Linked DNA regions of Arabidopsis thaliana. The protein of the gene in region 1 interacts with the protein of each later gene in a biochemical or structural test. Each region holds a gene or a part of one and is shown on either strand. Other genes may lie near its edges.

Evidence for each region.
Region 2: the proteins of UBQ10 (region 1) and MSBP1 form a complex in vitro, tested with the Arabidopsis thaliana proteins (one study listed by BioGRID).
Region 3: the proteins of UBQ10 (region 1) and MAPR2 form a complex in vitro, tested with the Arabidopsis thaliana proteins (one study listed by BioGRID).
Region 4: the proteins of UBQ10 (region 1) and MAPR3 form a complex in vitro, tested with the Arabidopsis thaliana proteins (one study listed by BioGRID).

What each region holds. Positions count from the first base shown.
Region 1 is NC_003075.7:2,714,275-2,722,760, forward strand, and holds UBQ10 (polyubiquitin 10), read left to right. Parts: upstream 1-3,702; 5' UTR 3,703-3,980; intron 3,981-4,268; exon of another isoform or gene 4,269-4,284; coding exon 4,285-5,658; 3' UTR 5,659-6,034; downstream 6,035-8,486. Other genes in the region: AT4G05310 (Ubiquitin-like superfamily protein), read left to right, coding at 491-1,738; AGD13 (ARF-GAP domain 13), read right to left, coding at 6,498-6,779, 6,865-6,960, 7,046-7,168, 7,252-7,399, 7,485-7,648, 7,766-7,841, 8,144-8,225, 8,366-8,405. UniProt on the Arabidopsis thaliana protein: Ubiquitin exists either covalently attached to another protein, or free (unanchored).
Region 2 is NC_003076.8:21,209,263-21,217,495, forward strand, and holds MSBP1 (membrane steroid binding protein 1), read left to right. Parts: upstream 1-3,677; 5' UTR 3,678-3,858; coding exon 3,859-4,178; intron 4,179-4,952; coding exon 4,953-5,295; 3' UTR 5,296-5,349; coding exon of another isoform or gene 5,350-5,357; 3' UTR 5,358-5,580; downstream 5,581-8,233. Other genes in the region: MBD13 (methyl-CPG-binding domain protein 13), read right to left, coding at 1-420, 520-720, 828-951, 1,065-1,211, 1,347-1,445, 2,289-2,372; RUP1 (Transducin/WD40 repeat-like superfamily protein), read left to right, coding at 7,636-8,233. UniProt on the Arabidopsis thaliana protein: MSBP1 can bind to multiple steroid compounds with different affinities. Negatively regulates cell elongation and brassinosteroid signaling. May act as a coreceptor with BAK1 and enhances its endocytosis.
Region 3 is NC_003071.7:10,605,487-10,612,245, forward strand, and holds MAPR2 (membrane-associated progesterone binding protein 2), read left to right. Parts: upstream 1-3,930; 5' UTR 3,931-3,960; coding exon 3,961-4,263; 3' UTR 4,264-4,414; downstream 4,415-6,759. Other genes in the region: AT2G24945 (uncharacterized protein), read left to right, coding at 6,096-6,728.
Region 4 is NC_003074.8:18,126,629-18,134,830, forward strand, and holds MAPR3 (membrane-associated progesterone binding protein 3), read left to right. Parts: upstream 1-2,823; 5' UTR 2,824-3,040; coding exon 3,041-3,348; intron 3,349-4,331; coding exon 4,332-4,725; 3' UTR 4,726-4,964; downstream 4,965-8,202. Other genes in the region: AT3G48880 (RNI-like superfamily protein), read left to right, coding at 1,245-1,609, 1,816-2,380; AT3G48900 (single-stranded DNA endonuclease family protein), read left to right, coding at 5,226-5,293, 5,383-5,540, 5,754-5,815, 5,917-6,044, 6,185-6,236, 6,313-6,385, 6,481-6,554, 6,923-6,982 and 4 more.

The DNA.
Region 1 (8,486 bases):
TGCTTCGTTCCGGCTTAATTACTGCTCTTCCCCATCTCAAGCGCATTCCCATACTCCCATCCTCTACAAACCTTGACCAATACCAGTGTGACCTCCACACTTGACCCATCTCCTCAATCGGAATACCTTTCGTCTCCGGCAAGAATCTTTAATGGGTCGGATTTGTAGATTTACGGTTTAATGGGTCGGATCTAGATAGTTTTAATCAATCTTTTTATAACATTACCGTTGGATAATATAAGTAAGAATATACTGTAGCATAGATACTGATGATTTTATGTGAGGCTTTCATTGACTTAAGAGCCACGTAACCCAATAAAAATGGGTCAAGCCCAAATGCGGTTCATTTGATATGTGAATGAATGATATTAAAACCAAATTCTATCGTGAACTATCTTTACAAAACAATCACTTTCTCTCTCGCTCTCTCTGTTTCTTGACTCTCTTCTTCATTAGTCTCCATTGATCTTGAAACACCATTGATAGAGTCATGAAGTTTGTGGTCGAGATTCTGGGTGGTTCATCGTTCGAGATTGAAGTGGAACGCACAGATACATTGTTAGTGGTCAAACAGAAGATCGAGAAGTCTCAACGTGTCCCAGTTTCGAAACAAACCCTTATCGTCGACGGCATTTTTATTCTTCGAGAAGATCTTAACCTCGACCAATGCCAGATCTTCCACGATTCTCAAATCCAACTCGAAGTCTCTCCTGACGTGAACCCTATTCACAACAACGACGATCAAATCCCGCAAACAGAGCAATCTCCTCCAGCACCGTGGATTTCAGTTGAAGAGTACTTTGCGGAGCAAGATTGGCCTTTGACAGAGGAAGAGATCAGAAAGATTTACAGTTATCGGCCTGAGACAACCCAAGACATCAGTAAGATTCAAGATGCGCATCAAACAGAGGAATCTCCACCGTCAAACTCAGTCAAAGAGACCGTTAACATTCAAGATTCGTCTGTGAAGTTTGCGAGTAAGAACAACAACGATCAAGTGCCTCCAACGAAGCAATTTCCACAGTCAAACTTAGTCAAAAAGATCACTAACGGAAAAAAAAGAGTCCGGCAGATGCTAGTATATGTGTCGCCATATCCTGGTATGAATGAAGTCCCAACGAATATTCTGGTGCAAGTGAAAGTTACGGATGAGGTGAAAACACTGAGAGGTCTTATGAAACTGGCTCAAGAAGGGTACATCTTTACGCACAATAATCAAGTATTGAACGAAGATCAGTCATACGAGTGTAACAGTGTTAAACCCTTGGATACAATTGTGATTGTTCCCAGACGTGTTATCCAAGAGACCAGTAAGATTCAAGATTCGTCTGTGACGGTTCAAGTGCCTCAAATGGAGCAATCTCCAGCGTCAAACTCAGTCAAAGAGATCACTGACCCGAAGAAGAAGATTAAAGTATATGTGGTGGCAGCTTCAAGTGAGTGTAAAGGTCTGAAGAGATTTATTGAGGTGGATGTGAACTCGACGGATCAAGTGAAAATACTGAGAACCGAGTTGGTTGAAAGTGGTCGGAGGGGTCATATAAGAATGCCTCACGAAGGATATTTCTTTGTGGACAGAAAGAAAGAGAGAGTATTGAACGAAGATCAGTCATTCGAGTGGAACCGTGTTCTTCCAGCCGAAACAGTTTATATGGTTAGTGGACGTGATACACATTTTGCCTCGTCTTTTACTCGTGGCTCTAAAGTCACAATGCTTTGTGCTCAAAAAGTTCTGTAGAAAGTCTGTATATATGACACAGAAGAAACCAAAAACTATGATACATTCAGCAACAGAAAGTTATGTGGATCTTTAACTCTTTGCTAATAGGTTTTAATCTTTCTTCAAGTTTTCTTCTGGCCCTTAAGTCACAATGCTTTGAAATTTTTGAGTATATGTAGATACATAGAAGAAACAAAACTATGATACATTTAGTAACAGAAATTTATGTGGATTTTATCCTATTTGTAGGTGTAACTCTTTTCTTCTAGGTTTTAATATTTTTCTTCAAGTAAACTTGTTGTTATTGAATTCCCTTTAGTCGAAAGCAGCGATCAAGCTTCTCTTATAAGTTACAAACCCTAATTTCAGCAAACACAACTTGGAAACACTAGCAGCAACAACTTTGTTATTTTAAAACATTAGCAAAAGAAATCTCATTGCAACATCAAATGGCAAAACTGGAAGGTAAAAAAAGCAGAACTTATCAAACAAGACTACCAATATGATGAACTGATGATTTTTTTTTTTTTTTTTTTGGCTCAACAACAAACTTTCCATTCACCCATTTATGGATACACAGTCTAGCTCAACAGAGCTTTTAACCCAAATTGGTACAATAGAATACAACTTTAGATCATAATTCTCAAAAGAAAGAGATTCCTTAGCTATTCTATCTGCCACTCCATTTCCTTCTCGGCTTGTATGCACAAGCATAAAATCCTCAAACTTGCTAAGTAGATACTTTATGTCTTGGATAATTGGATTGAGACTTGACAAGCATAACTTTCATGTAACCAAAGACACAAGTTGCTGAGAATCCACCTCAAAAATGATCTTCCTATAATTGAATCGGGATAATGACAGCACAGCCCATCTAAGAGCCTCCACTTCTACTTCCAGCACGCTTCTTACTTTTACCACAGCTCTTGCACCTAACCATAACACCTTCCCTGTATGATCGCGAAGCACCCACCCTAAGCCACATTTTAATCCTTCTGTTGGCCATGCCCCATCAAAGTTGCACTTAACCCAAGATTGTGGTGGAGCTTCCCATGTTTCTCGTCTGTCCCGACGGTGTTGTGGTTGGTGCTTTCCTTACATTCTGAGCCTCTTTCCTTCTAATCCACTCATCTGCATCTTCTTGTGTCCTTACTAATACCTCATTGGTTCCAAATTCCCTCCCTTTAAGCACCAGCTCGTTTCTGTTCTTCCACAGCCTCCCAAGTATCCAAGGGACTAAAGCCTCCACATTCTTCAGATCAGGATATTCTTGTTTAAGATGTTGAACTCTATGGAGGTTTGTATGAACTGATGATCTAGGACCGGATAAGTTCCCTTCTTCATAGCGAACTTATTCAAAGAATGTTTTGTGTATCATTCTTGTTACATTGTTATTAATGAAAAAATATTATTGGTCATTGGACTGAACACGAGTGTTAAATATGGACCAGGCCCCAAATAAGATCCATTGATATATGAATTAAATAACAAGAATAAATCGAGTCACCAAACCACTTGCCTTTTTTAACGAGACTTGTTCACCAACTTGATACAAAAGTCATTATCCTATGCAAATCAATAATCATACAAAAATATCCAATAACACTAAAAAATTAAAAGAAATGGATAATTTCACAATATGTTATACGATAAAGAAGTTACTTTTCCAAGAAATTCACTGATTTTATAAGCCCACTTGCATTAGATAAATGGCAAAAAAAAACAAAAAGGAAAAGAAATAAAGCACGAAGAATTCTAGAAAATACGAAATACGCTTCAATGCAGTGGGACCCACGGTTCAATTATTGCCAATTTTCAGCTCCACCGTATATTTAAAAAATAAAACGATAATGCTAAAAAAATATAAATCGTAACGATCGTTAAATCTCAACGGCTGGATCTTATGACGACCGTTAGAAATTGTGGTTGTCGACGAGTCAGTAATAAACGGCGTCAAAGTGGTTGCAGCCGGCACACACGAGTCGTGTTTATCAACTCAAAGCACAAATACTTTTCCTCAACCTAAAAATAAGGCAATTAGCCAAAAACAACTTTGCGTGTAAACAACGCTCAATACACGTGTCATTTTATTATTAGCTATTGCTTCACCGCCTTAGCTTTCTCGTGACCTAGTCGTCCTCGTCTTTTCTTCTTCTTCTTCTATAAAACAATACCCAAAGAGCTCTTCTTCTTCACAATTCAGATTTCAATTTCTCAAAATCTTAAAAACTTTCTCTCAATTCTCTCTACCGTGATCAAGGTAAATTTCTGTGTTCCTTATTCTCTCAAAATCTTCGATTTTGTTTTCGTTCGATCCCAATTTCGTATATGTTCTTTGGTTTAGATTCTGTTAATCTTAGATCGAAGACGATTTTCTGGGTTTGATCGTTAGATATCATCTTAATTCTCGATTAGGGTTTCATAGATATCATCCGATTTGTTCAAATAATTTGAGTTTTGTCGAATAATTACTCTTCGATTTGTGATTTCTATCTAGATCTGGTGTTAGTTTCTAGTTTGTGCGATCGAATTTGTCGATTAATCTGAGTTTTTCTGATTAACAGATGCAGATCTTTGTTAAGACTCTCACCGGAAAGACAATCACCCTCGAGGTGGAAAGCTCCGACACCATCGACAACGTTAAGGCCAAGATCCAGGATAAGGAGGGCATTCCTCCGGATCAGCAGAGGCTTATTTTCGCCGGCAAGCAGCTAGAGGATGGCCGTACGTTGGCTGATTACAATATCCAGAAGGAATCCACCCTCCACTTGGTCCTCAGGCTCCGTGGTGGTATGCAGATTTTCGTTAAAACCCTAACGGGAAAGACGATTACTCTTGAGGTGGAGAGTTCTGACACCATCGACAACGTCAAGGCCAAGATCCAAGACAAAGAGGGTATTCCTCCGGACCAGCAGAGGCTGATCTTCGCCGGAAAGCAGTTGGAGGATGGCAGAACTCTTGCTGACTACAATATCCAGAAGGAGTCCACCCTTCATCTTGTTCTCAGGCTCCGTGGTGGTATGCAGATTTTCGTTAAGACGTTGACTGGGAAAACTATCACTTTGGAGGTGGAGAGTTCTGACACCATTGATAACGTGAAAGCCAAGATCCAAGACAAAGAGGGTATTCCTCCGGACCAGCAGAGATTGATCTTCGCCGGAAAACAACTTGAAGATGGCAGAACTTTGGCCGACTACAACATTCAGAAGGAGTCCACACTCCACTTGGTCTTGCGTCTGCGTGGAGGTATGCAGATCTTCGTGAAGACTCTCACCGGAAAGACCATCACTTTGGAGGTGGAGAGTTCTGACACCATTGATAACGTGAAAGCCAAGATCCAGGACAAAGAGGGTATCCCACCGGACCAGCAGAGATTGATCTTCGCCGGAAAGCAACTTGAAGATGGAAGAACTTTGGCTGACTACAACATTCAGAAGGAGTCCACACTTCACTTGGTCTTGCGTCTGCGTGGAGGTATGCAGATCTTCGTGAAGACTCTCACCGGAAAGACTATCACTTTGGAGGTAGAGAGCTCTGACACCATTGACAACGTGAAGGCCAAGATCCAGGATAAGGAAGGAATCCCTCCGGACCAGCAGAGGTTGATCTTTGCCGGAAAACAATTGGAGGATGGTCGTACTTTGGCGGATTACAACATCCAGAAGGAGTCGACCCTTCACTTGGTGTTGCGTCTGCGTGGAGGTATGCAGATCTTCGTCAAGACTTTGACCGGAAAGACCATCACCCTTGAAGTGGAAAGCTCCGACACCATTGACAACGTCAAGGCCAAGATCCAGGACAAGGAAGGTATTCCTCCGGACCAGCAGCGTCTCATCTTCGCTGGAAAGCAGCTTGAGGATGGACGTACTTTGGCCGACTACAACATCCAGAAGGAGTCTACTCTTCACTTGGTCCTGCGTCTTCGTGGTGGTTTCTAAATCTCGTCTCTGTTATGCTTAAGAAGTTCAATGTTTCGTTTCATGTAAAACTTTGGTGGTTTGTGTTTTGGGGCCTTGTATAATCCCTGATGAATAAGTGTTCTACTATGTTTCCGTTCCTGTTATCTCTTTCTTTCTAATGACAAGTCGAACTTCTTCTTTATCATCGCTTCGTTTTTATTATCTGTGCTTCTTTTGTTTAATACGCCTGCAAAGTGACTCGACTCTGTTTAGTGCAGTTCTGCGAAACTTGTAAATAGTCCAATTGTTGGCCTCTAGTAATAGATGTAGCGAAAGTGTTGAGCTGTTGGGTTCTAAGGATGGCTTGAACATGTTAATCTTTTAGGTTCTGAGTATGATGAACATTCGTTGTTGCTAAGAAATGCCTGTAATGTCCCACAAATGTAGAAAATGGTTCGTACCTTTGTCCAAGCATTGATATGTCTGATGAGAGGAAACTGCAAGATACTGAGCTTGGTTTAACGAAGGAGAGGCAGTTTCTTCCTTCCAAAGCATTTCATTTGACAATGCCTTGATCATCTTAAGTAGAGTTTCTGTTGTGGAAAGTTTGAAACTTTGAAGAAACGACTCTCAAGTAAATTGATGATCACAAGTGAAAGTGTATGTTACATAAGTGGATATTTCACCCTTTTTCCATCAATCAAAACATCATATAGTAATCCATTGGTTTATACAAACATCAAAATACATTTACCTCTGAAATGAGGAAAAAAATGCAAAGAGATTTTTGAAAATTTCCAACAAATGGAGAGAAAAAAAAAAAACAAAGAATTAAATCAATCAGTACATTTATAAAGGTTATGAGACCTATATGACACTTATTGGTCAAGTGGCAGCCATTCCATTTCTAGCTCTAATTCTCCAGACTCTACATTCTGAAGCTTGATCTGAACCTCCTGTTTCACTTTCCCATCAACAATGTTAATGATACTGTCATCTATTAATGGGTTATCATGCGATTTTAGCCATTTCCCAATCTGCATATCCCCAAACATTTCTGGATCCCCAAAAGCCATTGCAGATGTTATCAAAGGTTGTATATCAATATCTGCTTCTCCCATTATGTCATCAGCAGAAAATGTATCATAATCATACACTTGCTGCAACCACATAAGAAACCGTAAGATATATATATAAGCTTTGGCAATGACTGAAATCGTCAATAGAAAATGAATTTGCTCTTACCAATTTCACAGGGCCATAGCTCTCAGGAACAGACAGCATGAGTTCTTGATTCCATACCGGGTTCAAATTACTATTCATAACAGTTGTCTGAAGTTTCTGAATAAACAAGACAATTTTACTCAAGATTCACAGCATCAACAAGAAGTAAAGCTAATAAAAAGATGCAAAGCAAATCACTTACTTGCTTCCCTAGATTCAACACAACATATGGATCACTTGACATCATGTCTCTGATTGCTAAGTTAGTTCCCTTCTTAATAGTCACCTTCAACAATCCAATAAACTCTACCATTCCTTCCTGAAACTGTCAAATTTACCGATTTCAAAACATGCAAGAAGAAAGGTATAAGAAAGAAAACGTTAACTTATGCAAGTTTGAAGCTTTACCATCGTCTGCGATGATGAATTTGTGCGAAAACTATCCATGATCTTTCTAGAAAGACTTGATGTAAGAAAAGCTGAACTCTTTGTTGAGCCTTTCCCGGATGTAATCCGCAAGCTTGGTTTCAGAAACTCTTGCAGTTCATATTTTGCCCTAAATAAAGATTTTGAGTAAGTCACTATACAAACAACAGCAATAGATTTGTCCTGTCACAGAGTATTTTGTTTTAGAATCTGACCTAATGAATCTCATACGCTGGTCATGATTAACATCAGGTCCAGGCTTAGAGCACGTGTCAGGTAAAAAAGCTTCATAAATTGAATTAGCAGACGCATTTCCTCCAATTTCAATCATGGAATCGACTTCCTCATCTGACCATTCATCTAGTGTCACAGACAAAACCTGGAGAAACCAAACAATGAGTACACAACGAAAGAGATCTAATTTTGTCTTGAGTAATGAAGAAAAGAGACAACAAATGGACAACCAATATGTAATAGAGCAAAGAAGATATATCACCTTTGAAATATGAGTGCCGAGGCTCCTGTGCACACCGCAACATTTTAAGCAAATGAATACTCCGATATTTGCTGATCTGAAAACAAGCTACTAACTGATTATTCAATATAAGAACAAACACAAAGATACATAACTAAAGACACAAGAACATGTAGATGAAGCTCAAATCGCATAATGCGAATAAGTAACTTTCGGTTATGGTAAAGAAATGTGAGACATTCAACTCTATGAGATTAACCCCTAAATGAATAGAGAACATACAGAACCAAACATATTGTATTAGCATAAGATTAGCTATATACTAAATGACATGTTGTTTATCAGCAAAACTACCAAAAGATAAGAAGAAGAAAAAGAGGCTTAGAAGCGATGACTTACGCCCATTTAGGATCAGAAGCGCCACAATCAGCGCAGACTCGGTTATCAGGTTGATTTAAAAGATCTCTGATTCTCCTTTTACCTGTTAAACACACAATGTGGATTGAATCACAACATAATCAGAAACCTTGTGACGCCATTATAACATGAAAAAGTCAAGAAATTTCGCTAAATCTATAGAATCGACCACACACACACACAAAAGAAAGAATCTGTCATTACCTGAGCCAGGCTTACCGAGTCCGGCTGCATAATTGCTCATTGCTCTTCTTTCAAAACCCAACGATCATCAAACAAAATCCTACATTGAGAACAACCCATCACGCACAAATTGTTGTAAATG
Region 2 (8,233 bases), on another chromosome or scaffold:
CATCATCAGGAGGTAATATTCGTTGAACTTTGGTTCTTGTCTTCAGTTCAAGCGTCGGTTCATCATCAGGAGGTACTATTCGTTGAATTTTGGTTCTTGTCTTCAGTTCAGGCGTCGGTTCATCATCAGGCGGTACTACTCGTTGAACTTTGGTTCTTGTCTTCAGTTCAGGCGTCGGTTCATCATCAAGCGGTACTATTCGTTGAACTTTGGCTCTTGTCTTCAGTTCAGGCGTTGGTTCAAGCTCAATACCAGCTAACCGTTTTGATGTTCGTCGGGCTACACTATTACTTAGCTCATTCTTCTTCTCTTCAACTTTACTCCTTGTGATCCGTTTCTCAGAAGAATCTTGTTCCTCTTCTTCCTTCATAACAGCTTCCTTCTTTGGTTTTTGTGACCTTACACTGGAGTTTACAGAATCTACAAATATAGAGAACATAGAAAAAATTGGTGTCCTCAAATCTTTTTGTTATCTCAGCCACTACTCAGGTGGAAATATTAAGTCAGGTATCTGCACACCTTTTTCTGATTTTGCATTTGATGAAGACAGATTTCTTTTTAAATCTACGACGACTTCCTCAGTCGTACTGGCTTTAGTTTGGCTTCTAGTAACCCGTTTCGCTATGAGCTGCTTTTCGATAGGATCTTTCACCTCTTCCTTCTTCCCCAAATCCTCAAGAACTTGTGAGGTTACAATGCTCAAGTCAGAAGTCATTTTACCTGCATATATAATCGAATGTTGACACTTACTTAACGTAACTCACGGCATAAGTATGATTATACCCTGGCAAGTGGCAAAATCAGAACCCAAAAGACTTTGTACTTACAATTCTTGGAATGTTCATCAGAAGAAGATAAGTTTCTCCGTTTACTTCTTCTGACATCATCTATCGTTTTCTCTTTTTCCAATACATCATCTGCAGATCTCTTGTCCACATACTCCAGACGAAGCTAAAATCAGACAGAGAAAAGTTAAGAGTTAAAAGATTAACAGAAAATTCAATCATTCAGCTATAGTGCTTTCCATTAAACTAACTATAACAAAAAAGGAGAAAGGAACTCACAACAGTCTTTCCATTTCCGGAATCATCATCTTCGATATCACTTTCTTTCAATTTACGTGCATAATGTCCAATATTGCCAGTCTCAACATACCGTGATGCGTCTTTGAAGGATTGAAAGATATACTCACTTTTAGGGTCAATGAAGAACTGCAAAATCAAAAACAAGACATGTCCAAGAAGAATCACATAAGAGATTTTCTAAAGTGAGCTTATGTGGAAAAGACACAAAATGTACTTTTGATCAAAGATGATGTTATCACAAAGAGAGTAGAGGGTACAAACTGGATCTCTTCTGGTTTTACGGCCTGATCTATTTGTTATTTCAAGTTTCTTGATCCATCCTTCAGGTAAACCTTGAGCAGCAGATTTCTCAACTATAACCTGTATCACTTAAACATAAAGAGTTTTTCATTTTAAGAGACGTATAAATGTCAAATCTTTTTAGGGATCACAAAGAACAAAGTAACATTGTCTTCAAACATATAAACAACACAAAACTCTCAGATATTCTGTGCTTATGAACTTTCCATGAACAACCTAATACCAGACCCTTGCCAATATAAATGTGATTCATCTCAAAACTTTCCCTTTGCATACGCGAGAGGTACAAAGTTTTAGTGCTTACGAATATTACAGTATTCTCTCGAAGATGGTTACTTAACAATCCAAATTCATTTTCACAAGATCTATTACTCTTAATGTCTAACCATCTCAGTAAAGTAACCATATAATTCCTTTTCACACGAAGTAAACTAAGAGACAAACTTTTAAAAATTCAAGAAAAACTTAAAAAAAATAAACATCTCCAATCATGCACACAAGTAATAAGAGCTTTCTAAGCCACAGTGGAACCAAGTAAAATCAATTGAGTTCAAAATGTAGCTACATAACAAAGCTTTGATCAAACTACATCATCTATAACAAAACAAAAAGTCAGGTCAAGACCATTTTCAGACACTTAATCAACTAGACCTCTTCTCTTTTGATCACATGTCATCTTTCCCTAAAAGCTAAGCATTGCATGCAAGAGAAAATCACTCAAACGTCACAAAAGACTTCACCTTTTTCCATCATTACAAAATCATACAATCAGAAACTAAGAGTGAATCAAAGTATTTGGCACTTCAATAAAGATAACTACAATTTCCACAAAAGGAGCTAACAAGAACCAAACATGCAAAAGACAATCAAAATTAAGAAAAGGGTTTAAAACTCATAAATCACCTTATCCTTTCTCCCATTCTTCCTCACTCTAATTTCCACTTTCCTCTCAGCCGACAAACCATCAGAGATCCCTTCTCCGTTCATCTCTCCGGTCACCGTAAAACCACTTTCCTCTCTCTCTTGTATCCCTGATTCACAACTCAGAATGGTTTATCAACTCAAAACGCCAAAACCCATCAAGAATTGTCGGATTCAGATAATGGACACCGTCGGAAGTTATAAAGAAGGAACCTTTTTATTTTGTCTGATTGTGTGATTTGGTTCTGTCTCCACTAAGGTAAATAAGAAAAATAGTAGGATTTAATGGGGAAGAAGAAGAAAGGGTTTACACGTGTAGTGTGGAGGAGTTTCAATGGAGATTCCCCGATTTGAGAGGTTCAAGAAAACTCAGTCCACCAGCACGCGAGTCTTCTGGCCCAACGCTTCTCTTCTCTGATTGCAATTTAGCTCATTTTCTCCATTTTATTCTCTTGTACTGTTTGTTGTTTACTTCCATTGTTATTGTCCCAATTTTAAAAAAACTTACACTGTATATTAAAAAACATTTGCTTGATTTGGTTATAAAATCTAATTGCAAATCTATTTATGATGATATTTTTTGGGAAACATTTAAGACTTTGTTATCATTTTTTGACCCAAAAGAAAAAAAAAATGTTATTATTGTAAATGTTAGGATTGGAAGATTTATCATGAGAAGAAAAGTGAAAAATACTAATATAGTCAATTATGAATTTTCATAAATCTGAATTAAATATAATTTATTTTTACTTAATATATAGTTTTAATTACTTTTTGTTTAAATTTATGTTATTAAATTTGGTATTTGTATATCATGTTTAAAAGATTTAGAAGTATGATTTTATTCTATTTCTAGTGATTTAATTATTGAAACTTTGATTTTTAAAAAAGTTTATGTATTAATAAATTATTTGGATTGAAGGTTATATCAATGTTATAAAATGTGTTTTAAAATCTGAAAAGTGGTTGATTTTTTCTTTTTAAATTCTGCATCCACGAAACTTATTTTTCTTAAAACTTATTTTTCTTTTCGAGGTTATGATTCTTTTTAGTTTTTTTTATCAAATTTCATGATGAAAATAACTGAATTGAACATCAAAGATTTTCAGAAAATACTCTACTGCTTTTTTCTTAACTATATTCTAGCCATTTACATATCTAAGCTTGATGTCTTTTCTATTTCGTCGAAAATCTATCTATTTTACGGCAGAGACTTGAAACCCGAATTTTGACATATCAAAAACACTAACACAATCCCATGTACTACATTATCATTTGTATTTTACTTATAGAAGAAAATAACTTTTTATTTAAAAATTGTATGGTAAAAATAAAGATTAGTTCCCTAATAACTATATAAAAAATCTTATTCGGTCGTTTTAGCTGTATTTAACTTTTAAACCCAAGAAAGAAAAAAATCAATCAACCAAGGAAGTAGTACAACAACAAGAGTCAAAACCCAACAACTCTCTATCTAGCACAAAAGCCTGACTTTTACAAAGACAAGCCTTTTCAACACACTACTGATCTTGAGAATCCTCTCTTCAAAGCCATGGCGTTAGAACTATGGCAAACTCTCAAAGAAGCAATCCATGCTTACACAGGTCTTTCTCCTGTTGTCTTCTTCACTGCTCTAGCTCTCGCCTTCGCCATTTACCAAGTCATCTCAGGCTGGTTTGCCTCGCCGTTCGATGATGTTAACCGACATCAGAGAGCTAGATCCTTGGCTCAAGAGGAGGAGCCACCGATTCCTCAGCCTGTTCAAGTCGGTGAGATCACGGAGGAGGAGCTTAAACAGTACGATGGCTCTGATCCTCAAAAGCCCCTTCTTATGGCTATCAAACATCAGATCTATGATGTTACACAAAGCAGGTGAAATTTCTGAATCTAAAAAGCGAAATTAGGTTATGGGTTTGATTCATTGTTTCCTCTAATCTTGTTTTAGCGTATAAAGACTTGGACTTTGCATACTTTTATGATCTATAAAGCTGTGAGAATCGTAAAGTTGTTCACTTTGAGAATCAATTTCACAAAGGAGTTTTGTTTTGAGAATCAATTTCAGAAAAGCACATTGGAAAAGTTGATCCTTTTTGTTACTTTTATACAAGAGAAAGATTCAAAGGAATATGTTTTTGTTGTTGATGTTTGCTAGTGATTGAGATCATGTTGTGAAATATCTTAGCTCTATCTTCGAGTATAATCAATCTCTTAGACTGGTTTTAGTGTCTCAAGTGTTGTGTTTGTAATGAAAGGTTGGATTTTTATTGTCTTCCTCAAATCTCGTTTTACTCTATAACAACTTGGACTTTGCATAGTTTTATCTATGAAGCTGTGATATCCATAAAGTTGTTCACTTTGAGAATCAATTTCACAAAAGTTGTGCTTTTCTATGTAATCGAGCTTTTGAGTGGCATAGTGTTAATTTACCCTTTTGCTTCCTTCATACAAGAACAGGATTCAAAGGAAGTTGTAATATGTTCTTGTTGTTAATGTCTGCTTGTGGTTGAGATCTTTAGTGAAAACTCTTTGTTAATCTTTGAGTATAATGAATTGATCATCTTCTTATGATAGTCTAGTCTGGTTTTTGCGTATTTAAATTAAATGTTGTGTTTGTGATGAAAGGTTTGATATTTATTGGTTTTGTAGGATGTTCTACGGACCAGGAGGACCATATGCTTTGTTTGCAGGGAAAGACGCTAGCCGAGCTCTTGCAAAGATGTCATTTGAGGAGAAAGACTTGACTTGGGATGTCTCTGGTCTTGGTCCCTTTGAGCTAGATGCTCTTCAAGATTGGGAGTACAAGTTCATGAGCAAGTATGCTAAGGTTGGTACTGTCAAAGTGGCTGGTTCAGAACCTGAAACCGCATCTGTCTCTGAACCCACAGAGAATGTTGAGCAAGATGCTCATGTAACCACAACGCCTGGGAAGACCGTTGTTGATAAGAGTGATGATGCTCCTGCTGAGACTGTGTTGAAGAAGGAGGAGTAGAGCCCATTTCCAAGATTTGCTCTGATTTGTCATAGAGACCAGTTTTATGAAAAGGATTGTAGAATCTCTAATGTTGAAGTGTCAATGATAATCTTGTTTTACTTTCCCAAAAAATAAAGATTGCTGATTAATGATAAGAAAAAAATGTTTTATAAACTGCATATCAGAAGGCGTTGCATTGCATGATTACAATGTAGTCGAGTTCATACTTGTGGTTTGTGAATCTGCATGATTAATCTGGAAACTAAAACATTAAACCTGATCCTTTTTTTGTAAATTCTCTTCATCCTTTTGGTTACTACTATAGGAAGTTTTTAAGTTGGTCACTAAATCCATATCAATTGGGAAATAGAGTATTCAATTGTGATCCTCGATGTTTAAGAATTGGGGCAAAGAAGACAGTTGACCACGTTCTTCTGAGTGTTCCTTGCATTGCAGATATGTGCGCTCGATCTCCTCAGCACTATGGAAATTTCGGTGTCGTCGGTATTTGCAAATTTGGATATTCTTTTCTTGGAACAACCTGGCTCTTCAAAAGATTTAACCTTTCCATGGATTATTTGATACATTGGAAGGCACGTAATGATAAGGTTTTTAATGATACATTTGAGAAACTGCACAGCTGCAAGAACATAAGACAAGTACCTTTGAACAACGGTCTTTATTACAAAAACTGGAGTTTGAAGTCACAAATTAATGTTTTATAAAATAGTTCATTTTTTTTGGTAAACATGTGAAGATTTTATAGATAGTTGATGGAAGGAGACTCGATATGTTTTCAAATATAGGTTGGATCGGTTTTCATAACGACATAGAAGGATCTCTTTTTAGAGTTAGGAATCTATGCATAAGCCTTTCTCCTATGATCAAGCATCAAAGTACATCGGTAACTATCTCAATGGACTGTTCAAAGCTAAAAGAAAATTGACAACTTCCTGAACATTTTAGCCAATTTTCTCAACATATTTGGAATGGTTTGCAAGACTCAAATATTTGCTCTCTTCTGGCTTTCTGTTATTCTTGTAATTAGAATTGTCTTGCTAACTTGTTAGCTAGCATGTTGTTCACCACTACATTTTCATTATTTTAAGTATGTAAGACCTATAGTTCTATATACACCATCGATTTGGATTACCGAACCATTTTGATATATGTGTATGTATTTCAGTCGACAAAAAAAAAAAACTTCTAAGATCAGTTTAAACTGAATTTTGGTTATCGCCTTCTCTGCGATCATGGATTGGGTTGGACCTAGACATATGGGCTTAAGATACGTTTTACAAGCTGTCATGATGAATACAATTATTGTCTTAAGTGTCACGAGATATTGAAATCGTCAAAATAAGCCAAACATGCACCAAGATATCAACGCACATGTAGTTATTATATAGCAATAGTATTCTAAACGTAATGAACCGTCGATGTATCGACGTGTACTTTTTGCATTCACTTTCTTTTGTCTTCAAAAATAAAATGAAAATCAGAAATAAAGAGGTGTAATATTATCCACGTAGGAGTTGAGATCTACGACGACCAAACTAATCGTTAGGAAAGGTTTCAAAATTTGAGGTTCTTATCCAACCAACGCTAACGTAATGCTAATCTCGTGTTTCCATTTCTTCTTCCTTTAATGCGATGTCTCTCTGCACCCAATAATTAAAAAAAAAGTTTCTTTACATTTTTTCTTCTAAGAGAATTTTTTTGGCAAGTTGGTGACATGGTGTACTTCCCATACTTATCCATATCCCATTGCTCTAACTTTTTGTTGCTAAAAGCTAACTTAAGGAGTGATGAAGATTATAACTCATAATCAATCTAAAAGATAGACTCTTAACCATTTCTAATCACCACAATGTTCAAAGATCATATTTGGAGCTAGTGGTTATTTAGCCATGTGCATGGTCTTATTTTGATAGATTACCTTTTTGGATTGTTTGAACAAAAACATAAATACATGTAGCTAATTTCGATATATTAATTACTTTTCTAGTTGGAACCATTCGGAGAACAGCAAGTACCAATAACGTGAATGCATTTCCATTTAATATCACACAAAAGAAAAGTTCCATGTATCATGAATTTAGCAAATTCCATTTATAAATATTTGGCTTAACTAAAATTATATACATGGTTTCTTCTACATCTAGTAAAAAAAAAAGATAGATAAACCATGATACCTATGTATATGTATTTATATTAAATTTAAATATACCCCACATTTTTTGTTTTCGTCAACAAACAAACCACTTTATAGCTTATATATACACATCACACACACATATGAATGTGATGTTAATATAGTTTCGTGTGGACCTAACTAAAACTAGTCGTAACTCATTCATGGAGGCTTTGTTCTGCTCTGAGATACCCAACAACAACATCAGATCTTCCATTAACGATCTATCTTCTTCTTCTTCATATACATGGCCAATGATCATGACCTCCTCTTCTTCTTCTTCTTCATCTCCCACAATCATGAACATAGAGAACATTCCTAGATGCGACTGGGATCTCTCTCTTTCCGCCGTTGTTTCCTCCGCATCCACCGGATCAGACGCTATCGGAGCAATCGAGTTCGACCCTACCGGAGAGATCATAGCTACGGGAGGAATCGCAAGAAAGATCAGATCGTATCGTTTAAGCTCTTTGTTAGAGTCACGTGACGATCACGTAACAGCTTCAGAGAGCTATATTTGCACGCCGGCGAAGCTTAGTAGTCTCAAATGGAGACCCGATTTTTCCGGTCGGGTTATCGGGTCAGGAGATTACGACGGAGTTGTCACCGAGTACGACGTGGAGAAACAAGTGCCTGTTTCCGAGAGAGACGAGCATGGAGGTAGAAGGATTTGGAGCGTGGACTACACGCTTTACAATGGCTCTCTTATAGGCGCGTCAGGCTCCGACGACGGAACGGTTCAAATGTGGGATCCACGTAACG
Region 3 (6,759 bases), on another chromosome or scaffold:
GGTTTTGGTTTATTTATTCTAATCTTTAGCGCAGTAGGAGGCACCTTTTTAGGCTGCTCCAAAGGCTTTCTTCCTCTTCCTCTTCTCGTTGGCGGTTTCTGGATTAGCTCATTTAATGTTTTCTCCTTTTTGTGCTTTGGCACATTTGGGGATGGTGGCTTCCTAGAGCGTAAACGGCGATTGAGAGGAGAAACAGTCTCAACGAAATCCACATCAGACACAATGGAGACCTTATCAAATTCTGCTTCAAGCTTCCTACTTACCCCAACATCAGCTTGTTTCGACTGCATAAACGTAACGAAAACTCAGGCGTTAAACAACGAAAACTCATACCTATGTATAAATATAACTCAGCCATAACTAACTAAACTCAGCCGTATCAAATTCATATACCTCAGCCATAACTAACTAAACTCAGCCGTATCATATTCATATACCTCAGCCGTAACTAACTAAACTCAGCCATGCCTAATTAAATTTTTAACTCAGCCGTATAATATTCATATAACTCAGCCATAACTAACTAACTAAATTTATAACATGAAAACAACTCAGCCATAACTAACCAGCGTTTATAACTCAGCCGTAAAATATTTATATAACTCAGCCGTAAAATATTCAGATAACTCAGCCGTATAATATTGATAACTCAGCCATAACTAACTAAAATTTAAAACGCAGCCGAATAATAATCAGATATTAACTCGATCATAACTAACTAAAAGTTTACCGGAGGAGGACTAGGAGCAGCAGATTGGTTATTTGTAATTTTCTTTGGAACGTCTGGTGTCTTTTGAGTTTGGGCCTTACGATTGTCTTCCTGCGTTTGGGGCTGTGGTTTGGATAAAAACATATCTCTAATATAGCTGCTTGATTTTGAATCAGCTATGGCCTTCAGCTGCTCTTTAATCTGTTTGACGTCGTTCTCAATCGATCCAAACCTTCCTTCAAACTTTGCTTCAACACTCGATTCGATTTGACATCCAATCACATCCAGACGGGAGGACATTTCTTTTATGCTAGTATCAACGGTGTCAAATCGAGAGTTTAAGGGAGAGATCAAGTTGGACACCACATCCACGAGCGACTGCTGGTCTCCCTGACCATCCTGCTCACGAGAACGAACATCCTCGTCCTCATCAGATTCGACAGCTACTTCCTTCTTCTTCTTCTTCTCCTTCTTCTTCTTTTCTGCATCTTTCTCAAGAGAATCAACATGCTCACCGTGAGAGACCTTCTGTTTCTTAGCGGGAGATTCAGACACCTCCGCTTCTTTATCTTTTAAGAGTTTCTTCTTCTTCTCACTCGTCTTCACATCCCAATAACCTTTAACAAGCTTAACCTCGTGTAAGTCTTGGATCAAGTTATCAAGTGCTGGGTCTTCTAATTGGTCTGGCCAAAAATGAAACAGCTCGCTTAACTCAGCCTTTTCAACCATTGTACGAACACGCAGCTACAACAGGAGAGATAATAAAACCCATCAGTATGTTTAACTCAGCCATCACTTAATATAACTCAGTCGTCACTTAATATAACTCAGCCATTATAGAACATAATTCAGTCGTCACATAACATATTTGCCAAAAAAAAAGAATATAACTCAGCCTTCACAGAGAAAAATAAAACATTAACTCAGCCGTAACATAAATATTTGATAAAAAACAGAACATAACAGAGCCGAAACCGTACCTCACCACCATTCGCTTTGATATCTTCAGCAATGACCGATTCTATAGTTGAACGGGTACGGCTGCCACCCCATCTAAGCAACGGAATCTCATCCGCGTTAACAGCGTTCCCAAAACGCTCAGCGATGGTGATGATTGACTCATACGCCCAAGCCTGCAACACGAAAACCAGACCACTGACAGTGTACGTCTTGCCAATAGGCCTCAGCAACTTTATAGAAACGACAAGGGCTTCATATGCTGCCCGACCCCATGGATAAGTCTTCATGGCTTCGTCGTCGAAAACTCTTTTGGCACTCTCAAATGGTATCCTAGAGTTAGTATGCAAGCCAAAAAGTCCAATGGATAGAAGAGTCAATAACCCAAACCATCTACGTTTTTCAGTAGGCCAAGCTCTGCACGTTACTAAGCCCTGCCTAAGTTCATCTAGATTAGGACCTTCACCGGTTGGCACACGCAATTCACTGAAGAACGCTTTGTAGTCAGCTTCAGGCTCAAACTTTTCTGTAGGCAGATCATCTATATTTAAACCAGTGATATGATGAAATTCGTTCAATCCAAACCGGATGGGTTTACCAGCCACGATACACCAAAGCTCCTTCTTCAGTATTCTCAGCTGTCTGCATAGTAGATAATGTACGGTCTTACCAGACCAGAGAAAATGACTATCAACAAGCTTAGCAATTAATCCAAGCTCTGTCTCTTTCAGTTCTGCCCATATTTCTTCTCCTATTGATTCTCTAATTGCAGGGAACTCTCCCAGCTTTATATTATGATTAATGCCTTTACCCTCCAGATTAGAATCCCCCTCTTGGTAAAGTCTTGGAGGGTACTCCCTTGCTTGGTCTTCAGACATCTGTATAACCATAAATCAGCCGTAAGCATTCCATAACTCAGTCATAACATAAAACAAACTCATCCACAGATACCATAACTCAGGCAAAACATAAATCTAACTCAGCCATAGATAACATAACTCAGTCATAACATAAACCTATCTCAGCCATAGATAACATAACTCAGTCATAACATAAACCTATCTCAGCCACACATAACATAACTCAGCCATAAGATAAATCTAACTCAGCCATATTTTAACAGAAACTCAGTCAAACCATAACATAACAACAGCTCAGTTAAAACATAAACCAGACTCAGCTATATCAAAACAGAAACTCAGCCATAACATAAACAAACTCAGCCGTCATATAACAGAAACTCAGACATCGATGTAAGGTTAAACCATAACTCAGTCACAGCATAAAAAAAACTCAGACACGGATGAATTGATAAATCATAAATCAGTCGGCAAACAAACAGTAACTCAGCCGTCAAATCAAATAGATCTAAGAAATCGGCCACCATATGTCAATCAACGTCGACGTTAAAACCCAGCTTTAAAAACCATCGTTACGCATCGGAAAACGATTTCAGTGACGGGAATCACTTGAGATTGAACTTAGATGTCAGAGTCTTACTTCATTGAAAGATACTCACCGGAACTTAGATGTCGAATGTGACTTCGCGCTTACGTAAATGCGACTCCGGCGTCTGAATTTCGGCCGGAACAGACGAGAAAAGAGCAAAACGGCGAAAGAAATCGATTTCGTTCCGTCGAGAGAGAAAGTGGAAGAAAGCGACAGTTTTTTTTTTTTTTGGGAGATGATGAACAGTAAAGCTAAGAAATAAGAAACCCAAACGTTATGGAGTTTGGAGATAATTAATGACGTGGATTATGGTAATGACATGGAATAATGACATGTATAATCACTGTTTTTTCATTTAATTTTTAGTTAAAAACGAATTAAATAATAATAATTAATTAAAACTAATTAGGGGTGTTAATTGTAATTACACAATAACTGAAAACATCTGAGTAATAAAAAAAAGATGTGTTCTACTGTAGGAATAAACATACAAATGTGTTCTATCTTAGGAATTAGTTCAAATTAAATTGTCTTTTCCCAAAGCCGTCCTTTAAACCCGACGAAGTTGTTTAAGCAGCTTAAATTAAGCTCCTTGAAAGATTAAGCATTTCTGGAATTTTTATCGACTTTAATTAGAGAAAAATAAAATATTTTTTGATATTCCTTGTAAAAATCTGAAGAATAAAGTTTACTCCACTTATTACCGACACAAAAAAAGTTGTTCCACTTATTAAAAAAAAGTTATTCAGTTATAATTTTTTTAAAAAAATCCTCTGTTATATATCTCTCACTATCTTTTATTTGGTTCTTTCCAGAAACAATTGATCAGAGCTTTAAAGAAAAAGATGGAATTCACCGCAGAGCAGCTAAGCCAATACAACGGCACCGACGAATCAAAGCCGATCTACGTCGCAATCAAAGGCCGTGTGTTCGATGTCACCACCGGAAAATCCTTCTACGGCTCCGGAGGCGATTACTCGATGTTCGCCGGAAAAGACGCGAGCAGAGCTTTGGGTAAGATGAGTAAGAACGAAGAAGATGTGTCTCCTTCTCTTGAAGGTCTCACTGAGAAAGAGATCAATACTCTTAATGATTGGGAGACCAAATTTGAAGCTAAGTATCCTGTCGTTGGCCGTGTTGTCTCTTAGGTCTCTCTTCTGAGATTGCACTATGTTATGTAACTATTGTGTGTGAGGATCTTTGTGTTGTGTGTTTTCTGATTTCGTGTTTGGATCTGATCGTTTTGATACAATTACCATAAGTACCAAATTATCTATGAAATAAATCGGGGATTTCGTGTTCTCAGTGGTCTTCATATTCTGATCTTAAGGTTACTTTGTTGTGCTTACCAAAAAAAAAAGGTTACTTTGTTGTGATGATTAGGATTTTAGGAGTTTTAAGTCTCATATGTATTTGATGAGAGGATATAAAGATTGGTTTGTGTCTTTCATATCTTGCAAATACTTGGAGCTAATTGTGTCTGGTGAAAGAAAAACTGATGGTTTCTGAAATCTGAGCAACACCAAACTTACTGGTAGTTTTGGATTCGGTGTAAATTATCTTACAAGTTCCAAGTTGTTGTTAATTTTAGTCTTTTGCGTTATGAGATTTGGAAGAATATAGTTATGATGAACATTCAGAATTCATAGAAGCTAATGTGTGTCTTCTTTGATTCTTTCTTACTTCTCCCGGTCTAAATTATTATCATCACTTGTATGACTTCGGCCCTGTTCGGCATGGCGTTCTTGCGACTAATATGTTGCTTTAACGCCAAGTCTTAGGTTTGAGGGAGAGCTGTTCATGGGTAGAGTTGTTCTTGGCTCGAGTTGACTTGTGTCGTGTGTAGTGGCTGTGGCCTATAGCTATGCTTGTTTATCAAGAGAGAGGCATCCTAACTTAGATATTATTTTGACATTTTAAATAAAAAAATGCACAAACCACCACCTCCAAGAACTAGCTACCTTGCTGGATTTGAACCAAACCTAGAACATAAATGAGGAGACGTGGAGGGGTAGGAGATTCGGCACCATGTTGATCCTCAGGTAGGTATTTATCCTTTCCCACAATTTGTAAAACGTTGTTGGAGAACCCGGGGTGATTACAAGACACTACAACTTTGTTCTCTATGTCGACTAAGAAACTCAACCCAAAACATAACCCTAAATGATAGCGGTCATCAAATTTCGACACTGTCAGGAACTTGCTCTATGAAATGGCTTCGTACTCTCCATCTTATTCGCTATCCATACCTCAGAGCTCTGAGCAGCAAATATACAAAGTTGTTGCGCTTCTCTAGTCATTGACAAAGTCGCAAAACAATAAGAACGAGGCGATCTTAAATATTAACCAAAGAGAGTTCGCCCTAGGTCTTCTCTCCCGGGCACGATCTCCGAGGAAGCCGCCCCTCCATGCTCCAAGACAAGATGGACCTCCGCCGCCGCTGCTCCGCCGCTCAATTATCCTCTTCCTTCTGAAGCCGCTCTGCTCTTCCTTCTCGGGTCAGATCCTCGTCGTTCGTCGGAACCCGTTGTCGCCTGCGAGTAGTCTTTGGCTAGTAATTCAGCTCTGATGGTTGCTTCGTTCTCAACTCTCCCGTCGTCGAGCTCCTCCGTTTGGACTGTGAACACCGCTCACCTCCGGATGCTGTTCTTTCGGGTATCGCTGGATCCTCCCAAGCCTCCGGTGCCTCCAGATCCGGTACCTCCAGAGCCTCCTCCTCGTTGTTGTAGCGATTTTCCATCGTCTCCCTCATGGTATTCCTTGTTTGTTGGATCCTCCATCTCCTTTCCCTCGTCATTGAGGCTTATTATAAATTATATGCAAGTGTTTTCTATGATAAACCTTCTAGATCCGTGTGTCTTCCGGTGACACTTCTATCGCCATAGTGCGACCTATTACTGCAGTATGCAGCCTTTTTCCTGAAGCTATTAGGTTTTCCTATGGCTCCTATGCCTCCTTTAGTTCCTTCTTTCATGTCTATATGATTTGTAGGTTCTCTAAAGTTGAGATGGGTAAATGTTCAGCTAACTCATGGAGTTGGAATTGTGATTCTCGCTTGTTCACAATTGCTTTTGGTCTTCACAAGGATACTAATTGTATGCTTTGTTTGTGGTTGTGCTTTGTTTGCCATTGTTACTCCTTTATGGAGATCTATGTTCTATCAAGTTCCCCTGTTGTTGGGAAATCTTTATTTGCAGGGAATGAAAGCTTCTTTGGTGTTTGTGGATTTGCTGTTGCATCTTGTTTGGACATGCTATCTTCTAAAACCCTTGAAGTTCCCTTGCGAGACATTTCTGTCGCTTATCGTTCTAGCACCTACACGTTGGTAGCAGAAGATATTGTAGCGAAGACTGCCTTATCATTGAATAACGCCCTCTTGTTGGCGTGGAATGAAGACTCTTTGGTTTTGCAATTGTTCATGGACTCCCAGTTCAGTGTAAAATCTTTCAAGTTACTCGAAGTCACCGTTGAGCTAGGGAGAATTCTGCTTGTTTTAAGCTTCCTTCACCTCCGGTTTATCCCCTTGTTTTTTGCATTATTCTCTTATAATGCGTTTGTATTTGCAGTTCTTTCTGTTTTTAGTGATGTGTTTTACTCTTGTAATGGAGACTAAATCATTTCTATATCTATGAAATCAGTTTGAC
Region 4 (8,202 bases), on another chromosome or scaffold:
ATTCTCTCTCTCTTTATCTTCTCTCGCATCGCCGCCCTTCATAGATTAAACACACTCACCTACCAAAGTTGCATACCAGCCGTTAGATTACTCATAAGTGTATTCCACCGTCGGATTTAACTACTTTTTAAAGAGTCAACCTCAATAAGAATCTTGTTCCCAAAGATAAGGGTTTGTGTTGAGTTTAAGACCGGTTTAATCTGAAAACTCCGTCAAACCAAAACCAAACCGATTTATCATAAAAAAATTCATATCATCTACTTCCATTGGCTAGAGACAGATTGTAACGGTGTCGTCGTCGCCAAACGATTTGCCTCTTCCTAAAGGTAGGTTCTTCATTTCTCTCAGTGCCCCTTTGCGTGTTTCAGCTTCTTCTTTATGATCTAATTCATGTCTATGTTTCGTTTGATTCTTTGTTCAATTCTGAATTGAGAAAATGGCGATTCGAGATCTGTCTCTTCGGTTTTTTAGTTCGACTGATTTGGGAATGTGAAGAGATCAGATTGATTTGTTGACAGAGTCTTGGGGGTTTTCAATCTTATTCCTCTAGATTTTCGAAATTCGATTCCTTTACATCAGATTTCGCTTAATTCTCTGTCCTAGTGAGTTTTACGATCTTTAGTCTTCTGGTTTGTCAAATTCTATGTCTTTTCATGTTCTTCTGAGTTTTAATGGTTGATCTTCAATTACTTGGCCACAATCTCTAGAGTTTGAGACTCTTGACTTGTCTTGCATATATTCCTCTGTAGATTGGTTTTATGTTTGGTTTCAATTCCTTGTTGAACTATTCTGATACGGAAGTTTTCCTTTCTAAGGTTTGGTGTTTCCTTTTTCTGATAAATAGTGATGAAGATCGATTATGATGATCATGTAAGAATATAATCTAGCTTTGGTGTTTGTATTGGTTTACCTGAGGGAAGAAAAGTCTTTCTCTTTGGGACTTTAAACTTTGATTACTTAACTCCAACATTATCATAGTTGGGTTCTGTAGTTCATTTCACTTATAGCAGTAATAACTCATTGATTGATGCAATCAATCAATCCTGTGATGGAAATGGAATCATGGAAATTGAGGGATTCAGGGAGGATTGATTGATTAGAATTTCATATTTATGAGAGAATAAGAGAACTGATGTGTGTTTCTTTTCCTACTTCTTAAAGTTGTGCTCTTTCCTATTTCTATAAGCTCTTGTGGATAACAACAGTTGATTAACGTTCTTATGCTTGTTTAGGGTACAACAAGAATGGAAGAAGAGTATGAGAGTCGTCGATTGAGGAGATGGGAAGAGTTGGACACTGACATCTTAGTAAGAATTTTCCAGAAGTTTAGCGTCTTTGAGTTGACTTCGGGATTAGCTCATGTTTGTAGAGGATGGAGAGCTGCTTGTTGCGATCCGATTCTTTGGAAGACGGTGGATTTGTCAAACATGAGATCTAGTTTCATCAAGATCCCATTAGAGCCTTATGTCTATGTGGAACGCCGATCTGATGAGGCCCTAACCCGCATCCTGAAACTCTCCATGAACCTTAGCGGAGGAAGCACGAGGACCTTGATTTTTCATTTCAACTTGTTCTTGAGTGATGATCAGCTTACTTACACCGCAGAAAGGTATGTCCTTTTCGTTCTTCCACTTATTTGTCTTCCAAATTGTTTCATCATGGCCGTAAACTATGGTTTTTTAGTCAAAAGTTGGTTCAGTTTTTGGTTTGGTTAAGTTCATGTACCCACTTTCAGTCAAAATTGCTGAATTACAATTAAGCTGAATCTCGCAAATGCTAAAAGTTGAAAAATTTGTTGTACTGAATATTTTGCAGGTGTCCAGGGTTGAGACGGGTCGTCCTACCGGCTTGGAACAGAATAAAGAAGACTGGTATATGCAAAGCGATAAGAATCTGGAAAGATCTAGAGTCACTAACAATGCCAAGCATCGCAAACCCGCCTTATCTCTTAACAGAAATTGCCAAGAACTGCAAGAATTTTAAAGAGCTGAAGATCATGGGTCCATTCGAGGTCTTCTTTGCAAACACGCTCATCACTTGCCTCCCAAACATCAAAACACTCAGCATCAGATGCTCGGCGATAAAGCGGGAAGCACTGATGAAAATCCTTGACGGATTACCAAGCCTTGAAGTGCTCAACATATCACACTCTCACCTAGTGGAGTACAGCGGTTGGCAGCCTCAGCAGAAGGTGATTGTTAGAGAGCTCGATAAGACGATAATGGAGAAAACAGCAAGGCTAAAGAAATTCTTGACTTGCATGGATCACAAGACGTGTGTGATGTGTCAGAGGACTGAAAACGATGAAGGGATTGTGAGATGGTACAAGTATGAGGAAGGAGACTGGAAGGTTGATGAAGTGAGTTCTCTTCATCTTTGATGTTTCTGCTGTGATCATTCTCTGTGAAGGACTTAACTTGTTATTGTTCTCATCTTTGACTGTTGAATTGTTTATTTCTTTGTGTTGTTTGTTTTGATTTGAATCGTATTATGTGTATATATCTGTAGGCTATGCCAATGAATGTCTGTAGTGATCAACTTTTGATCACCACCAACCTTGCACACCAAATAGGAAAATAAAACAATATTGTTACAATTATTTGTCTTGATATTAGCATTATTAGTCACATTTGTTTTGCAAATCATCTACCTTTTTTTTTTGGTCTATATCTTATTCTTCTTAGTTCTTACCTACCAGTCTTCTCCGGCGGCATTAACGACACCGTTTTATCGAGCTCAGCCACCACTAGTTAGGTAACGATATATATTCTTAAAAACGTTTAGAAAATTTCTATGTATGTTTCACACGAACAAAAAGAAAATATTTTTCAGACATCAACGGTCATTATGGACGACGACTGTTAAACAAAATCGTTTAAAATTCTTGTTGCGTAATTTGACCATTTTATTTTATTTTATACCAAAAATTGAAGATATTATATATATGTTTTAATTCGATCGCAAATAAATCTGAAAATTAAAACACAAAACGTTACTCTTCTCTCTCATTCTCTTTCGCTTCTCGATAGCTTCTCAAATCATGGTTCAGCAAATATGGGAGACGTTGAAGGAAACAATCACAGCTTACACTGGACTTTCTCCAGCTGCGTTTTTCACCGTACTTGCTCTCGCTTTCGCCGTTTACCAAGTCGTCTCCGGTTTCTTCGTTTCTCCTGAAGTTCACCGACCTCGTTCTTTGGAGGTTCAGCCTCAATCGGAGCCTCTTCCACCGCCGGTTCAGCTCGGAGAAATCACTGAGGAGGAGCTTAAGCTTTATGATGGCTCCGATTCTAAAAAGCCCCTTCTTATGGCGATCAAGGGCCAGATCTATGATGTTTCTCAGAGCAGGTATTTCTTGTGAAATCTTTACTTGTTCATTAAATTATGATTGAATCCAAATGATCACTAGTTAAATTACCAGTAATAAACGATTCAACCCAATAGTTTCGAGATTTGGGGTTTAGGTTAGTTAATCATGGTTGACTGTTTGATTTATAATCCGAAGTTTCCAATTACTATCTATCTTATGATTCTAGTATATCTACTGATGCTCGAACTCTAGTTTAAGTGATTCTTTATTGTAAAACTGAACACTTTTAGTAAATCTTTTTGATGAATATTCTCTCCTTTTTGTTCATAATCTTATGATGCTCTTTTTATTGCTTTTTGCATCTTAGTGTTTGTTTTTTCACTTCTTTTCTTGGAACAATACCATTAGAAGCACTGATACAATTGTATTGTATTCAAGTTATCGGAAAGATCTCTACTTTTTCTTATACTAGAAAAACCTGTATTTAGATTACATCTTGGATTAGTAGAGATTGATAACGTACAAACTCGTCAAAGGTTTGGCTTCTAATATTGCTATTGTGGCGAAAGAGATCGTTCACTGATTAATTATCCACATTTGCTTGCTATTTGTGTTCCATGACGTTTGTAAATTAAGTTTTGGCGAACATTGTTGGTATGTAACCATGCTGCAGTTGTCTAGATCCCTGACTTGTCAACTAGACAGTTCTTTTACATTCCAGTTACCGAAAACTTCGTTGTGGTAATTAGGTTTTGTGCTAGATGAAATAATCACTTCAGTGATCATACCGTTTTGCTTGTTCATAGTGGCGACAGACACAGACACACTCATCAACGCATATACATGTCGATGTATATGTATGCATAACTTTTAGTTTTTTTCTTGTACATAGTTCATCAGCTGTACTACATATCTAGATGAATCATATTCATATGTGCCAAGCTGTAGTTTTTCATTCTTCAAACTCTACTTAACTCTTACTGGTCGCTAATTTGCATGACCATCTGTTCTTTTTATGCAGGATGTTTTATGGACCAGGTGGGCCATATGCTCTGTTTGCAGGGAAAGATGCAAGCCGAGCTCTGGCAAAGATGTCATTTGAGGACCAAGACTTGACTGGAGACATCTCAGGTCTCGGTGCATTTGAGCTAGAGGCGTTACAAGACTGGGAGTACAAGTTCATGAGCAAGTATGTCAAAGTCGGAACCATTCAAAAGAAGGATGGAGAAGGCAAAGAAAGTTCAGAACCTTCCGAAGCAAAGACTGCCTCTGCGGAAGGTCTTTCTACAAACACTGGAGAAGAAGCTTCAGCAATTACCCATGATGAAACTTCTAGAAGCACAGGCGAGAAAATCGCGGAAACCACGGAGAAGAAAGATGTTGCAACTGATGATGATGATGCTGCAAAGGAGTAAAGTCAATGTAATGAGAGGCACAGTTTCTCTTGAGAAATTAGTGAGATTTTTCAGGGTTTAAGTATGAGTCGTATATAGCTCAATAAAAATGGTGACCTTGTGTGTACTTTTTGGATCTTGTATAATGACATCTAATTCTGGTTATGGAAGCTTCAAAATACATTATTTCTACAGTATTAATCGATAAACAGTTCTATAATTCAGGGTTTGTTCACTTGTTGTTTATGCTTAGTTCATATTTGACATCCTGCTATGTGCCTGGTAATTGAAGATGGTTCAATTCCTAAAATCGAAGCACCAACTTACATTTGATGGTAGGTCTGTTGCCGAACCGAAGTGAAGAATTTGCAATAATTTTGGTTTCGGTTTGGAACCTTCAAACCGACCGGTTTCGAATTATTATTGAACCAAATTTTCAAAATTCAAATATCTTGTCAAATCATTTTCTTCCCTCTTTCTGTCTCTGTCTCTCTCTCTCGCTCGATCTCGAAGGTGAAGCTATGGGAGTGAAGTATCTTTGGGATGTCTTGGAGCCTTGTAAGAAGACTTTCCCACTCGATCATCTTCAGTGAGTTGTTTCTTCGTCTCAATTTCTCTTTAATTTTTCTGGGTGTTTAAAAAGACCAAGTCTTTACGAGATCTTCGTAATCGCTGTAGAAACAAAAGGGTATGCGTGGATCTTTCGTGTTGGATGGTGGAATTGCATAAAGTGAACAAATCTTATTGCGCCACTAAAGAAAAAGTTTATCTTCGAGGATTTTTTCATCGTCTCCGAGCCCTAATTGCCCTAAACTGCTCCATCATTTTAGTCTCAGGTAATTTAATTCTACCCTACTGTTGAAAATTGCCATCAGAAGAGCCAATTAGGGTTTATGTAGTGTTGTATTGTTGTCATTGTGAATTGATTTGAGTAATAGAAGCATGAGTGGTCAAATCAGTTCTTATTTATTGATGCTTTGCTCTAAAGTTTAGTTTTTTCAATGCTATTGAGCATACTTGACTTGTTGGAATGTGGCATGTAATTGTAGATGGTGCAATTCCTGGAATCAAAGTACCAACTTACAAGCGTCGGTTAAAAGCAAGATTCGAGGTACAATGATGTCAAATGTGGCACTTGTGGTTTCATCCTTGCATATGATGGCTAGTTTTTGGATTGTTTTTTTCGATTTCGTGCTATATTGGTTCAGCCAGATCGCTGACGATGGTGTTGAGCCTAGCAAAGAGACTTCACTCAAAAGAAATATGGGGTCTGAGTTCTCGTGCATCATAAAAGAGGCGAAAGTTATTGCATCAACACTAGGGATACTTTGTTTAGACGGGTAGGGCTTCAAGACAGTTAGCTTAGATTGACAATGAGACTTTGGTTTGAGTGTTTAACTTTGCTTATGAGACTTTGGTTTGAATGTTTAACTTTGCTTATGAGAAACTGATTCTGTTCTGTATTTTCCATCAAATGCAGGATTGAGGAGGCTGAGGCGCAATGCGCTCTGCTAAACTCGGAATCCTTATGTGTAAGACGCATTTTTCAGCTTTAATCAGTTTCTTGTTCGTCATGCTGTTAACCCAATATTCAATGATCATCCATAGGACGCCTGTTTTAGCTTTGATTCGGATATCTTCCTTTTTGGTGCAAAGACTGTATACAGAGAAATATGCCTTGGTCAGTGGAAAGAGACTCTTTAGTGTGTTGGTTTCTTTTACCGTCTGATATGGTTAATAGTATTATAAGTCCTAATAAATTTGCCAATGAACTAGGTGAAGGAGGTTATGTTGTTTGCTACGAGATGGATGACATCAAGAAAAAGCTTGGGCTTGGACGGAACTCATTGGTAAATTAACAAACCTCTTTAAGTGATTAGCTTTATATACTTAACCCTGATCTTTCGTTTCTATAAAGCTGCACCACGTTATTATAAAATGATTAGATTGGTAGAAGCATGAATGCAATGCTTGCAAAAGGTGGCCTTTGATATTTTATAAACTCAGGTGAGATAGATACTATGTGTATGAATGGTTCTACTGCAACGTTGTAGCTTTAAGGGCTCAATTCCTTTGTTAGCATCAGTAGACAAGAAAACCAGCTACACATTGTTGAGTGTTGACTATTATTCCATGCGTCAAAGAACTTTAAAATCTTAGCTATGTTTCATCAAATGGTAAGGTCATGTATACAATGTTTTCTTGGGTGATGTTACAGATAGCTCTAGCGCTTTTGCTTGGCAGTGACTACTCTCAGGGAGTTCGTGGTCTTCGACAGGTGTGTAGATAACTCAAGCTTTTAAACCTCCATCTATCGGGGTCATATGTTATTCGAGGTTGTCTGTTTTATTTAGAATTGGATTACAAAAGACTCACGATTAAACTTCTTCTGTGTACAGGAGAAAGCTTGTGAGCTTGTTAGGTCGATTGGAGACAATGTTATCCTTGAAAAAGTTGCATCAGAAGGACTTTCCTTTGCGGAAAAGCCGAGAAAGTCTAAGAAGCAAGTTAGGCCTTCTGTGTGCAGCAAAAAGGGGACCTTACCTTTGGTGGTTATAAATGGTAATGAAAGCAACAACTTCTTTGTGTTTTTGATATGACATGATTTTGGTGTTACCCCAAACAGAATGTTTGTTTATCATTGAAAAGCTCTTTCCATAATTTCAACTTGTTGCAGGAAATAATCGTGATCCAGAAAGACTGGAAGAGATCAAGCAGGTGATCGATGCGTTCATGAACCCCAAGTGCCACCAAGCAGACTCTAATACAGTTTCCAGGTTAACCCTTCTTTCCATTTCTTTGTTGTCAGTCCTGTGATGATAATTCTTCTCCAGATTATACCTATTCGTAGAGCTAGCACGTGCATAAGCCCATCGTTAGTAGCAATCATCTGCCACAAGGAATCACATATTTTTGTCCTGAATTAAGTCATGGAATAATATGCTTCCCCAAATGCATGAAAGAAATCAAGGAATTTCTGATGAGTAATAAGCTTATAATAGGAATGTCTGTTAAGCCTGGAGATTGGTGAACTTGAAAAAAATTTGAATGTTATTCAGATTTTTTATAAAGGAAGTGCTATAATTTATATACTGGTTTTGCAGGGCCTTAGCTGAATTCTCTTTCCAGCGCACCAAGCTTCAGGAGATATGCCATCAGTTCTTTGAGTGGCCCCCTGAGAAAACAGGTATTACTTTGGATTTATACATATTTCTTATACCTTGTAGTTGCATTGTGCAGAACCAATTGTGAAACCAACGTTTCTTCTTTTTCATTATCTTGCATTAAGATGAATACATACTTCCTAAAGTTGCTGAAAGAAATCTGAGAAGGTTCGCTAATCTGCAATCAAGATCAACTGAGGTTGAAGTTAACCTTCCTCTCCACAAGGTACCCTTCTCTCGCTCTCTCTCTCTCTCTGCAAGTTATTAGCGATAGATTTTAGTTCCCCAGAAATGTCTCAAGCTATGATTATTGTGTTCAAGATTATGTAGTCAA